Caenorhabditis elegans: one gene and its partners. The protein of the gene in region 1 interacts with the protein of each later gene in a pairwise test. Each region holds a gene or a part of one and is shown in the gene's direction. Other genes may lie near its edges.

The links. Proteins that work in one complex are often made in the same cells at the same time.
Region 2: the proteins of syp-3 (region 1) and atz-1 interact in a two-hybrid assay, tested with the Caenorhabditis elegans proteins (2 studies listed by BioGRID).
Region 3: the proteins of syp-3 (region 1) and grl-24 interact in a two-hybrid assay, tested with the Caenorhabditis elegans proteins (2 studies listed by BioGRID).

The regions. Positions count from the first base shown.
Region 1 is NC_003279.8:8,662,152-8,666,231, reverse strand, and holds syp-3 (Synaptonemal complex protein 3), read left to right. Parts: upstream 1-2,111; 5' UTR 2,112-2,117; coding exon 2,118-2,220; intron 2,221-2,273; coding exon 2,274-2,321; intron 2,322-2,364; coding exon 2,365-2,618; intron 2,619-2,682; coding exon 2,683-2,749; intron 2,750-2,795; coding exon 2,796-2,998; 3' UTR 2,999-3,172; downstream 3,173-4,080. Other genes in the region: F39H2.3 (Aminomethyltransferase folate-binding domain-containing protein), read right to left, coding at 1-165, 281-375, 510-594, 665-822, 865-1,097, 1,153-1,256; mrt-1 (5' exonuclease Apollo), read right to left, coding at 3,173-3,371, 3,472-3,726, 3,773-3,991, 4,047-4,080. UniProt on the Caenorhabditis elegans protein: Plays a role in early meiotic events; during prophase I contributes to synaptonemal complex (SC) assembly, synapsis and chiasmata formation and stabilization of homologous chromosomes pairing.
Region 2 is NC_003282.8:12,373,836-12,378,479, reverse strand, and holds atz-1 (Protein atz-1), read left to right. Parts: upstream 1-2,358; 5' UTR 2,359-2,426; coding exon 2,427-2,722; intron 2,723-2,773; coding exon 2,774-2,851; intron 2,852-3,202; coding exon 3,203-3,635; 3' UTR 3,636-3,799; downstream 3,800-4,644. Other genes in the region: wdr-46 (WD repeat-containing protein 46), read right to left, coding at 3,801-4,112, 4,482-4,644. UniProt on the Caenorhabditis elegans protein: Plays a role in meiosis, germline development and oocyte morphogenesis. May play a role in DNA replication.
Region 3 is NC_003282.8:17,474,470-17,477,900, reverse strand, and holds grl-24 (Ground-like domain-containing protein), read left to right. Parts: upstream 1-2,057; 5' UTR 2,058-2,062; coding exon 2,063-2,182; intron 2,183-2,224; coding exon 2,225-2,416; 3' UTR 2,417-2,566; downstream 2,567-3,431. Other genes in the region: F11E6.9 (TransThyretin-Related family domain), read left to right, coding at 2,567-2,788, 3,283-3,431; gba-3 (Putative glucosylceramidase 3), read right to left, coding at 17-183, 233-516, 583-792.

The DNA.
Region 1 (4,080 bases):
AGAATCCGTCAAGCTAGTTCTAGTTTTATTATTCGCTAAAATCTTATCAGGCATCCATTCAGGTTGCTTTGCGGTTAACGAAACTCCATCAGCTGTCAATTTTTGAGATTTGAATGAAGAAAGTTGAAGAATTCCCAGGCAACGAGTTGTGTCAGAAGAGATAATCTGAAGATTTTTTAATTGAACAGAAACTATTGTTTTTCAATTTTTGACAGTGAATTGACTCCAGATAATTCCAACGTTTAGATGAATTTTTTATCACTATAACTTTTAAACACACCTTTCCGACTTTATTTTTCTTCTCGTCCAGAACTTCTGCTCCAATTTTGACTTGACCTTCACATTCAAATGGTAAGATTCGTCGACGGATAACACCTGTCAAAATTTAATTTTTCAAAATCAAATTGAACTAGTTTTGTGGGTTTTACAAAAATTTAATTGACAAGTTACTAAATAAAAAGGAAAGTGAGATTTCACGTCTCCAAATATCTAAATTTAGTTGAAGTAACCTGTATGAGCAGTTCTTGCAGTTAATTCCTGTCCAACATAACATCCTTTATCAAGTGAAACCATATTGAGCAGATCACCGTTTGCCTTAAAAAATAATATTTGAAAATGAACTTTTAGAAATATTTCATTTAAATTGCTTCTGTTGTATTTTTACCTGAAAAGGAAGCAACTCCGCCAATTCTTGAGATCCTTCTGCAATTCCAGCAGATCGTCGCAAATTTTCATATTTTTCTCGATTTTCGCTAACTTCCGATGAAGACGGATTACCGAAAACGCGAGCTCCAAAACCAGAAAATCGAGGATCGCGGTGAGCTAAAATAAAATGTTATTAAAGTTTTGACGTTCATTTTCTACCTTGTTTGTCCGATACATCTTCTGTGAAAAATATTTGATCGGAAGATTCGGTGATTTCAACTTGTTTCCTCAATCGATATTTCAAGATTTCTTTTGTTAAAATAGTTTTATTTTCTTTAGAACATTCCAAGAACAAATCATCAGTTCCTCGTCTCCATAGAAGAACATCTTCAACAATTCTCCCTTTTGTGTTGAGCAAAAAAGCAGCAAGTCCATTTTGAGTTTGAAGTTTTCTGCAAAATAAGATGTAATCATTTTCGCTGTAATTTTTAGAGTATAAAAACATACGTCACATCATTTGTAATTAAACCTTGAAGAAACGCGTTTGTGTCAGAGCCATGAAGTTTCAAAAGAACTCTATGAGGCAATTTAATTAATCTTTGTGTTGACATCTGTAAAAAAGTTTGATAATCACAAGAAAACATATTAAAATATGTTAGAGTAAATTTCGCAACGGGGATGATCATATGGCCGTGCCGAATAATTTCGTCCGCGGCCGCAAGTAGAGCGAGGAAATTTGAAAAAGAAAACAAGCGCTTGGATTAGCAGCAAACTATTTAGGATGAAGCACCAAGTACGTCGCATTGAAAGCTGGGAATAATTATAATTTGCCTAAGCTTGGGACAAACTACACTCAAAATAAAAAAACTGCGTGGCGTGTACTGCAGAAAACCTCATATTTAGGCCCCGCCTTTTTCTCGTCCACTCACGGAGTGGAGGCAAAAATTTGGGGACCAACCAATATCATGCCGCCGACATCCTACGGGTTCCGCGCGCCGCTATGTTTAACTCGCAGCGGGCGGAGACAGCTCGCCACGCCCACAGCGAGTTAATCCTAGCGGCGCGCGGAACCCGTAGGATGTCGGCGGCCTGATATTGGTTGGTCCCCAAATTTTTGCCTTTTGTCCGTGAGTGGACGAGAAAAAGGCGGGGCCTAAAAATGAGGTTTTCTGCAGTACAGGCCACGCAGTTTTTTTATTTTGAGTGTAGGTTGTTGCTTAAATTTAATAAAATTAATTTGAATTAAAAATTGTCGAAGCGAATACATATTTAAAAAATGAATATTTTGTGTGTTTAATGAGTGAATAAAAATAAAACTGTTCATGAAAACATACGGTTTAAAGGCTCACGTTGTTCTTAAGTCATGTGGGTCTCGCAACGATCGCAAACACGCTACGGTTTTTTGTTAATTTTAAATATTTTTATTTTCTATTGTGAATTGGCCATTTCAATATCTCCAATTTCAGAGATAAATGAATTTCGAAAAGCTTGTCAGTCAGGCAGTAAATGGTGACCGATTCAAAATTTTCTGCGGGCAGCTCACTGAGTTCACCAACTCGCTCGCTGGGGAAAGAGGTATGTTTTGAGGCAAACATCAATGAAATATGAATTTAAAAATACATTTTCAGAGGCCATAGAAAAAGGAATGAGGCAAATCGAAACTCAACAGCTTGAAGGTTTGACAGATTGAAAAAGGCTCAACTTTAAAATTTTCTTCAGCCGAAACTTCATTCACCGAGCGAATTGCTGAAGACAGGGTTAAATGTGCTGCTCAACGAGAAAGTCTAGAAAGACAGCTTCAGGATTTGACAGCAACTGACAATAAACTGTCTGAACAGAAAAGAGACTGGGAAGAGAGACAAGAAAAAGCCTATGATGAACTAATGTCTTATTTGGAAAACGAGGATGTGGACAGTGCGGGTACACAGTTCGGAGATCACTTCAATTCATTAATTAAATCGATGAACAACTTGGTAAGTCTGCTCGATAACTTTATAATTTTTAAAAAGAGTGGGTTTCTGAATGTTATATTTTCAGTCACATGATTCGATGAATGGTCAATTCAATTCACTCAAAAACAATCTGGATGAATTAAACATTGAAAGTAAGTTGAAAAAAAATTTTGATGGTATTATCAACTAAACTTGCAGAGAAACAACTAGAAGTCGCCATCGCTGATCAATCATCGACTATTTCTGAAATGATTCCTTCTCTCCGTCCAACATGTGGAGCGACCTACAAAGAGCGCAACACTCTTCGCATTATTTTCCATTATCAAGTTGCCAAACTGCGCAGTGAGTACCAAAAATGTCGTCTACAAGAAGAAGCTCTGAAAGCCCGACTTTCTACATGAATTAAAAGAATCAGAACAGCCAAAATGTGGGCAACTGTTAATCGAACTGTAATGATATTAAAAATTGAATAATCTTTTTTCAAATCGTTCTGTTATCCTAAACTTTCATCATGTCGAATGCTTATCATGTAATATTTAATTTTATTGCATCAACCGTTGTGAAGTTTTAATAAATTATAGTCCTGGATTTCTCGGCCTTCTTGAATTATTGGCCCGAGCGATAGCTTCCGCAAATGTTTTCGGAGGTCCTTCCGGCCAATTGTCCAAGTCCATATCCATAAAATCGCATGTATTCGTTCGAAATACAACTCCAGGCGGTAGAGGGTCTTCTTGAAGTTGTGAAATGGGTGTTCCTTGGATAGTAGATTGAGTCCTAAAGTAAGATGTTCCTATTAATTAAAATTCACAATTTTGGGAATATGAATAACTTTCCCTTTTTCGAAAGTCGTGCTTCAATAATGAGACTAACTTACTTTTCTACTGTGTGGTCCTCTTCTGATCGTTTTCCTGCATTTTCCAAAGATGCCAGCTCAATGATAGAATACTTTTTAGTACACGGCGTAATCGTTTTAAAGTGAAAATGACTGAGAAATTTAAGAATTTCACTTCTTGAAGAGTGGTCGGAATATGGAATTCTAATGATTCCCTCGTCGTCGTTGACACCATTTCCAAACGTATAATAGAGCATCGATATGTCGATTATCACCGAATTTTGAGATATTTCACAACTAAAATAAAGGATTATTTGATGTGTTTAAAAATGGAAAGCCGTACTAGCTTCCTTTTTTGATAACTTTAATATCTCGATACTGTTTCAAAACTCCACAGTTTGATGAAAAGTCTAATAAATCTGAAATAACTTTTCTTTCATCATAAACCATAATGGGTTCATTCAATATTCGAGATATTGCTTGAATCAATTCTTCACGCCCAAGTCTATGCAAGGGAATAACAATATTTTCATGCGGATGTGCTTCAATAGCCTTCAGGAGTCTAAAAAATTAAACTGATTAAAATTTAAATAATAGCGAATTATTAGATTTCTTACATTTTTTCTGCCTCGCATCGTTCAGGAAACGGCA
Region 2 (4,644 bases), on another chromosome or scaffold:
TTTCTTCTGCCCATTTCCGGTGAATTCTTTTTAAAAATCTTTATAATCTTCTCATTTCGTATTTACTTTCATTTTGAACTGTTCACTGATAACGAATTTGTCCCAATCAGAAGGTAATCAGAAATGGAATCAACTCCATGAATTGAGAAAAATGCGATGGGTACAGAAAGCAGTGGAGTTTCTGCAGGAAATGTTCAATTGAAAATAAACGGGCGGTGCGAACTCGATTGGTCTTTAGATCAGCTAGAGGAGTATTTAAGGAACAATGCTACAGTTGGTTCAAAATTGGACAAACTTTTGTTATCGGAAAGGAAAGTATGTAAGGAAGACACTTTACATTACGGGAAGTTGACTACAGTAGTCTTTTACGAATATTTTTGCAAACAATTTTTATAAACATAATCGATCAGCAATTATTTAAAATTTCAGATGATTTCCATCTGGATTCTACTTATATCTCTGCTCCTCACTGTGAACAGCCGGACAATCGTAGTCTATAATAATAGATGCGTGGGCGGCAAAGTATTTAAATGTGGATGATGATTGGAGAAATGGAAAGATTTGGGCACGGACTGGATGTGATGGAGATTTCAATTGTGAGACTGGAACTTGTTTGGTGAGTTTTCCGTAGTTTGAATGTAACTTTTTTGAAGTCTATAGATCTATACTTTAACAGTGTATCATTTTGAAAGTATAAGTTTCTATGGAAGTTTTGAAACAAATAAACACTTGGGGATATTTGATCAAAACATTTTGAACAATTTTTTAAGTTCAGCCAAAAAATTGTGTAAAAGGGAAATACGAAAAAGTACTTTAGATGTTCTAGAATATCTGAAAGTCGTGAATTGTCAAGGACGTACATCATTTTTTTTTTGATGAATATTCCAAAATCTATTACCAAAATACATTTTCATTTTCGGGCAAATTTTTGGTCTTTTTTCTGTCAAACTCTGGGCACGTTTTACGGTCGTCGAAACTATATAATCTTTTTGCCAAATTTTTGCTACTTTCTGCCAAACTTTGGGCAAGCTTCTCAACAGTAAATGTTGACAGGAAGTTTCAAACGTTTCGCAGAATTCACACGCATATACTGAATAAGTTTCAAAACATCCGAAATTGGGAATACCCGAAGTCTTGAAAAAAAATGAAAAAGGTTTGAGAGTTTTACACTTTTTCCAGAACGCAGAACAATGCAATGGAAGGACAGGAACTCCACCCGCATCTGTCGCAGAATTCAATTTGAAATCTTGGGCTGGAAGAGACTTTTATGCAGTTAATCTAATCGATGGTTACAATCTCCCAATGTTAATTGATGGGTTGGGATGTCAAAGAGCCGGTGGATGCATCTCTGATGTAAATGCTGCATGCCCTACAGAACTTGCAGTGAAGAGTAGTTCAGGTTACACTGTTGGGTGTAAATCTGGATGTCTTGGATATGGAACTGATAAGGAATGCTGCCGTGGGGAGTATGATTCTCCAGATAAATGCACAATGAGCTCTACAACGAAGATGTTCAAGAATGCATGTCCAGGTGCATACACTTATCCATTTGACAACTCAACAATGTTCGTGTGCTTGAAACCTTCGTCGTATACCGTTCAATTTTGTTGAATTTTTGAATTTTTTACCAAAAACTTAACTGAAATTTCTAGATAATTTTTTTTTCGAATGAACTATTTTCGGTTTATTGAAAGTTTTTGATTCTTGCTTCACTGATAACATGAGAAAAAAGATACAGTTATCTGACCAATCAACTATTTAATTCGGCGTCTGTCATGCCAACTTTTTGGTTAATATTCACAAAAAAAAGTGTTGCAGAAAGTTTGTAGCAGAAAGAAAATGCCTAGAATACAAGTTGGTAATTGAAATTGGAATAATGTCTGTCACCTATTTTTGATTCAACGTTTGGTAAAAAGAGCTTCAGATATTGAAAACTAATGGAAACTTTGAACATGACACCTTTTTTTACCCAAAAAATGTAAAAATGCAAGAAAAATATATTAACTAAAGTTCTGACTATCAATGACCGTTCTTTAGGTTTCAAAAAATTAATCCAGATAATTTTCACAGCCACAGTTTAGGTAGTACTGCCATTTCTCTTGACAATGCATAACATTTTAGGTGGCCTTTTACAAATTTGAATATGCATTTAGCTCATCTAGTTCACTAATTACCCTTTTTAATGAAGTGTTTCATTCCAATAAACGTCTCCTATGACCTAATCTCCTTCCCTTCGAGACCATATAGAGAGAGAGAGAGAGAGCAAACATAGTATGTCAGACAATGATGACGTGTCTACCTCTTGGAAAGGTCAACTGCTACGGTAGATACCATCTATTAGCAGTGCTCCTCTTCTTGTCTCATTTCACTCGCACAGGTCCCTATCGACTGGTTGTCACCCTTTTTCTGTCTGTAATATTCAAATAATGGCTTCGATCGAACTCCGCAATGTGCAAACCGAGCTTGCCGCGAAGAACTTGCAATTCAAAGTGCTCACTGAAAAGTTTTTGGAGCAACGAAAAGAGCTTTTCGATGCGAAGAAGACTGATTCGAATGTCGAATATGTGGAATGTTTGAGTGAGAAATTGAGAGTTGCCACGGAAAGAATTTCGGATCTTGAAAAGGAGACGAAAGAAGGAAAACAAGTAGCAAATGAGGAAATTGGTCGATTGGAGAAACTTTTGAGGGAAGCACAGCAGAAAAGGGATGCGAAAATTGATGAGTGAGTTTTTAAGAATTTGAGTTCCTAAAATTTATCGAATTATTTTTTCAGGTCATATCAGACATTCTTGAGAATCGAATTACTTGTGGCTAACCTTGGTGAGAGCACAGATCCTGAGAATGAAAAACGGTGAGTTTCGGAGCCTACCCAAGTTAAAACGCAACGCCTCTAAAGTTGGGTCTCGTTAGGTATTGGCGAAGGCAAAATCAGAAATTCAAATTTTTTCAAGAGTTTTTCCACTATTTCTATGTCGAAACAAATCATGTAAAATACACGAGAAACCCTTATTCAAATGCATCTTTAAAGACCATTTCGACATTAAAATCGATAATAACAACAAAAACGTTTGAATTTACGAGTTTCCTGCCAATACCTAATGAGACCCATCATTGGAGCGCGCTTGTGCCTTGATGATTTCAAAAAACCATTTTTTGCGTCCCCATAATAACAAGCACAAATGCAAAAAGTAACACTTTTCAGAATCAAAAATTTGATGCCAGCAGCGAAAACTGGTATTCCACCAGAGGGTGTTTTGAGATTGACGATTAATGCATTGGACAGTGCTGCTAGAGAATCCAAGAAAAAGACGATGGCCATCGAGAGCCTCACGAAACAGGTCGACGATGCGAACAAGCTCACTGAAGTCTATATGAAACGGCTTGAAGAGCTGGAGGACAAGCATCGATTCGAAGAGGCGCTCACGTTGAAGATCCAGGCGATGATGATCGAGACGACGGGGCAGTTGGAAGCCCAGAAGAAGATCATTGCGGATCTTCAGAAGAAGAATGACGATCTTATGAAAGAAGAGGAAGGGGAAGAAGATTATGAAGAGGAGGAGAACTACGAGGTTGAAGAAGACTTTGAGGATGAGGAAGAGTATGATGAGGAGGGAGAAGAGGAAGATTACGAATAAAATACATACTAGTTTCTACTTTTTTATTTTACTGTTTGTTTTTTCCTTCGTTTCATAAATTTCCAAATGTCAAATCTTTTAAAGAAATAATTTCAAAAATTCAGTAAAAACAAAACGAAAATAACGCAAAATCAACAACAACAAAAAATAAAATTGATTATCCTTCTATTTGAGACGATCCAGAATGTGTTTCTTTTTCGGAGCCTCGTCATCCACTTCCGGTGCTTCAAAAACTTCCTTCTCCACCGCATGTTTCTCCATATTCCGTTCCATTCGAATCTGATCCTTGACAATATTCTTACGAGCCTCCATCTTCCAACCACTCTTCTTGCTGCGCATCTTGTGACGTGGCGTATATTGAACAGCCATCGGACGAATGTAGAGAATCTTCTTTCGTTCTTCCTCTTCCAACTCGAGAAGTCCCTCATTGACCTTGTTAATGTCGTCTGGGTTAAGACTGATGAGCTCCGGTTGAATCTGAAAATTAGAATTTAGTTAGCATTACAATTTTTGCAAAAATTTTTTTCGCTTGCCAAAGAAGGGTCTTCTAAATTGCTGTAGTATAAGAAAACTCCGAATTTTCCGTGGAAAACTTTTGTGAAATTTAGAACCAAGTAGTCTGAAATAAATTTTCAAAAAAAATCTCATTTTTTTCGAGATTGAACATAATTTTGTAACTAAAGTTTTCATGAAATATAGAGAAATCAAGATTTTTTTGGAGAAAATTTTTTAAAGGTTTCTTTTTTATTGGTGAGGTGCTTTCGATTTTCATGATAAAATCATAAAAAATAGAGTTTTTGACATCCAGACTTCAAATATCAAAATCGAATAAAATAAATTCCATACCTTATCCAACAATTGTTTGATTTCTCTTTCCTTTCTCTGTGATTTCGTTTCGTACGGATTAGATCTGAGCGTATCAACGTTCGGATCTCCTGCCCCTGGCACCAACATACTCGTGAATCCGCCTGCGTGTCCAATTCCGAGCACATCTTCCCATGGAACAAAT
Region 3 (3,431 bases), on another chromosome or scaffold:
AAACACAAAAACTTACTTAAAAAAATAATCAGCGTACGCTTGATAAACACGCTTATCATTTCTCATAGCTCCTCCGCCCCTCATGCGTCCAGTAACTTTCATCCATCCAGGAGCTGACCATGGACTGGCAAATAATTGAATGTTTCCTTCAGTTTTTTCAATTGCTTTCTTGATAAATGGAATCTGAAAGTTTCAGTCTTTTTTTTGAAGTTTTGCCGTTTATTAAAATTACCTTTAGTTTTAAATCTTCATCAGGTAATGCAAAATGTTTTAATTCAAAATCATCATGAACGTCATCATAGCTATATTCATGAGTAGAAAAATCACAACTGGCTATTGGAACTCTTCCTATATTATATTCTAATCCATTTTTTCCAAAATATGAATCAACGATATAATTTTGAAGTGTCTCCGATAAGGAAACAAATTGATCGCCGGCAGAATCAGTAAATGCTCCTCCAAAACCAAAAATATTTTGAAATCTTTCACTGGCATCTATTGTAATTGTCACATTAACTATAAAACATTTAATAATTGGAGGATGATTTGCACCTCGGAAATGTGTTAGATAAGTATTCTTACCTGATTCATTTTTTCTCAATTTCTCTTTCATTTTCATACTCATGCGTTTCAATCTATCGCCGTCCAAACTTGATCTATAAACAATTGCCTTCCCTTCAGCTATCTCTCCTATTGGCTCAATTTCATCGCAAAACGTTGCGTTGCAAACACAAACAATGTTGAGAAACGCGCCGTCATAGGTTTTTGGGTTGCATTGAAAAGAAGCATGACCTAAAAGAATATTAATACTGAACGGTAAATCATTCTCACTTTATTCATTGTTTGGGAAACTCAAAACTACCTCCCCACACCTAAAACCGAATATCATTAAAAGACTTCTCAAAAATTTATCTATGATTTTTTGGAGCCATTAAAACCGAAAACTTATTATGAAGTCTCATTAGGGAATGCAATTTTTAGTCAGTGTGGGTTTTTTTTTAAATTTAATCCAAAGCAATTTAGCCTTAGAACGTTTTTTTTAAAGAATAGTCCAAGTGAAACCTGTTTTTAAATTTTTTTATGATCTAGTTTTTTTAATAAACTAGAGATTTTCTTTCATGAATTTCTCACATTTTTCATTCAAACAGAAAAAAAACGCTGATTGTAAATCAACCAAATATAAACATACCGATTTCAAACATAAAACTTAATAGGCACAAAATAACGACCTTCCATCTTGACATTATTGGAAACTACTGACGACTGCAGGGCTCGAATGAACAGTTGCTCTTTACTTCCCATGATTTATCTTATCAATTTCTTGGCCAAGATGACCATTGTGTAACTTTTCTTGTGTTTGGGGCAATGTTTAACATGTTATAGTAACAAAATTATAAACTTAGCTCTGATAGGAAACGGATTATATTAATAAATTATAACTGTAAAAGTGTATTTCACAATGTTCCTATGATTTATTAAACTTTTCATAAAAAATTTCAATTCCGATTATATTATACGGTTTTTTTTGTTTTTGCTCTGTTACATGGTTTTAACAACCTATTTCAAATTTTCCGAGACTGCAAAAATTTTAAATAAGAAGAAAAACTATCAATTTATAGTGAAAGTTTTAAGTTTCAACGATGTTTGTTAGTATTAAGTATCAAGGTTTATTGAAAAGTGTCTAAAAATCAAAAAAAAAGATGCTTCAACTGGAAAAAAATCAACTGGTAATTCATTTACTCATAGTCAGGAATTCAAACTTATTTCAGACATTCTTTGGTTGAATCATTTTTTTAAATCGATAGAATACTATTAAAGAATCGATGAATGTTTACAATTAACCCTTTATTTTTTAATAATAAACCAACAGTTTTTACAACTAATCGTATCAATTTGGACGTGACACACAAATGTTTTTTCATAAAATAACACTTGAAAAACACGTTTAGCTGAAAATAATACTTTCCCGTGAACTAATAAAAACAAAAATTGGTACTGCAACCAATTAAACTACCTATAAAAGTAAAAAGGTCTCCAGGAACAGAGGTCATTTAAAGTTAATATGTCTTCTTTATTATTATTGTTAGTACTTGTCATGTTTTTCACTCTGGCATCATGCCAAGATGATAATTTTGAAGGTGAACGTTGTAATGACGTTATTTTGTATGATATTATAAAAAAGGTGGGTTGAAACAGTTTTAAAATAATTATTCCGTATTCTTAGGCCTCCAAAAAGACTGACGATCCGGTAATAATACGAAGAACTTCAATGGACACAATGCAAAATGTGTTTCCTTTGGCAAGAAGTATGGGATGTATTTGTACCGATCGAAACTTCCAATTTCCTGATTTCACAAATCACAGATACTGTTCTGTTAGAGTTTCAAATTTCAGGTGTCATGCAATTGTCTTTTAGCTACTAAATTTACATTTAATCTTTGATTTTGATGTATTTTATCATTGTTTCCGTACATGTGATATCATTATGACCTACAAACCTATATATTTATTCGTTTCTGTTTCTCGTCATTCACACCAATTTTGACTTATACCACGCACCTTTAAGATGAAAATTTTGCGAATTTTTTCATTCATTTCTGTTTTTGTTATTATGGATTGTTGCAAATTCAACGCTCAAGTAAGATCGGAAACAGATAGGGATGTATGGGCCCAGTTCACCTGGTTCAACAAAACGGATTCCGAAATTTTTAAATTTTCGAAGTATGGGGAAACAAAGAATTTTACAATCACTGGAACTATATGCAACTTGTCTCCAACAATTTTAAAAGTAAGTTTAATGCCCGCTAGTGTATATGGGGTGGGCGGCAATTGCCGAATTATCAAGAAAAAATTATCAAATCCGCAAAAATTATCAAAAAAAAATTCAATTCTCCTTTATGAAAATTTTCGCGGGTTGGAAAATTATATATCTCTACGACAAAAACACTTACTACATATACTTCCTTTTACGTTCAATTTTCGTCATTTTTTTTTCTGTATTTTACAAATTTTTCTGTTTAGTTATTATACCACAGCAGTTGTTGTCTCATAGTCAGTTTTTTTTACACTTCAGTAACAAACAATATGCAAGAAAAAATAACACGTTACAGTGTTATTTAATTTAATTTATTTACGCTCGCGAGGAGACGTGGAAAAAGTTGAAGAAAAAAGAAAAATGTACACATATAATAGATCAATCATGAATTTTTGACTTGACGATTTTTTAGAACAGTTGCGTGAAATGTGAAATATGTTTTTATCATGCCAATTTTAACTTTTCAGTCGTGGGAACAGTTTCCTAAGAAAGGAGTAAATCCAGTTGGACAAACGTCGGCTCATCTGGAAGGGATGGGCGGCACAATATACTATAAAGTATTCCCGAAAGATGGACCAGCTGCTGTTAGATCCGAAGGAATGCTATGTTCCTGGGG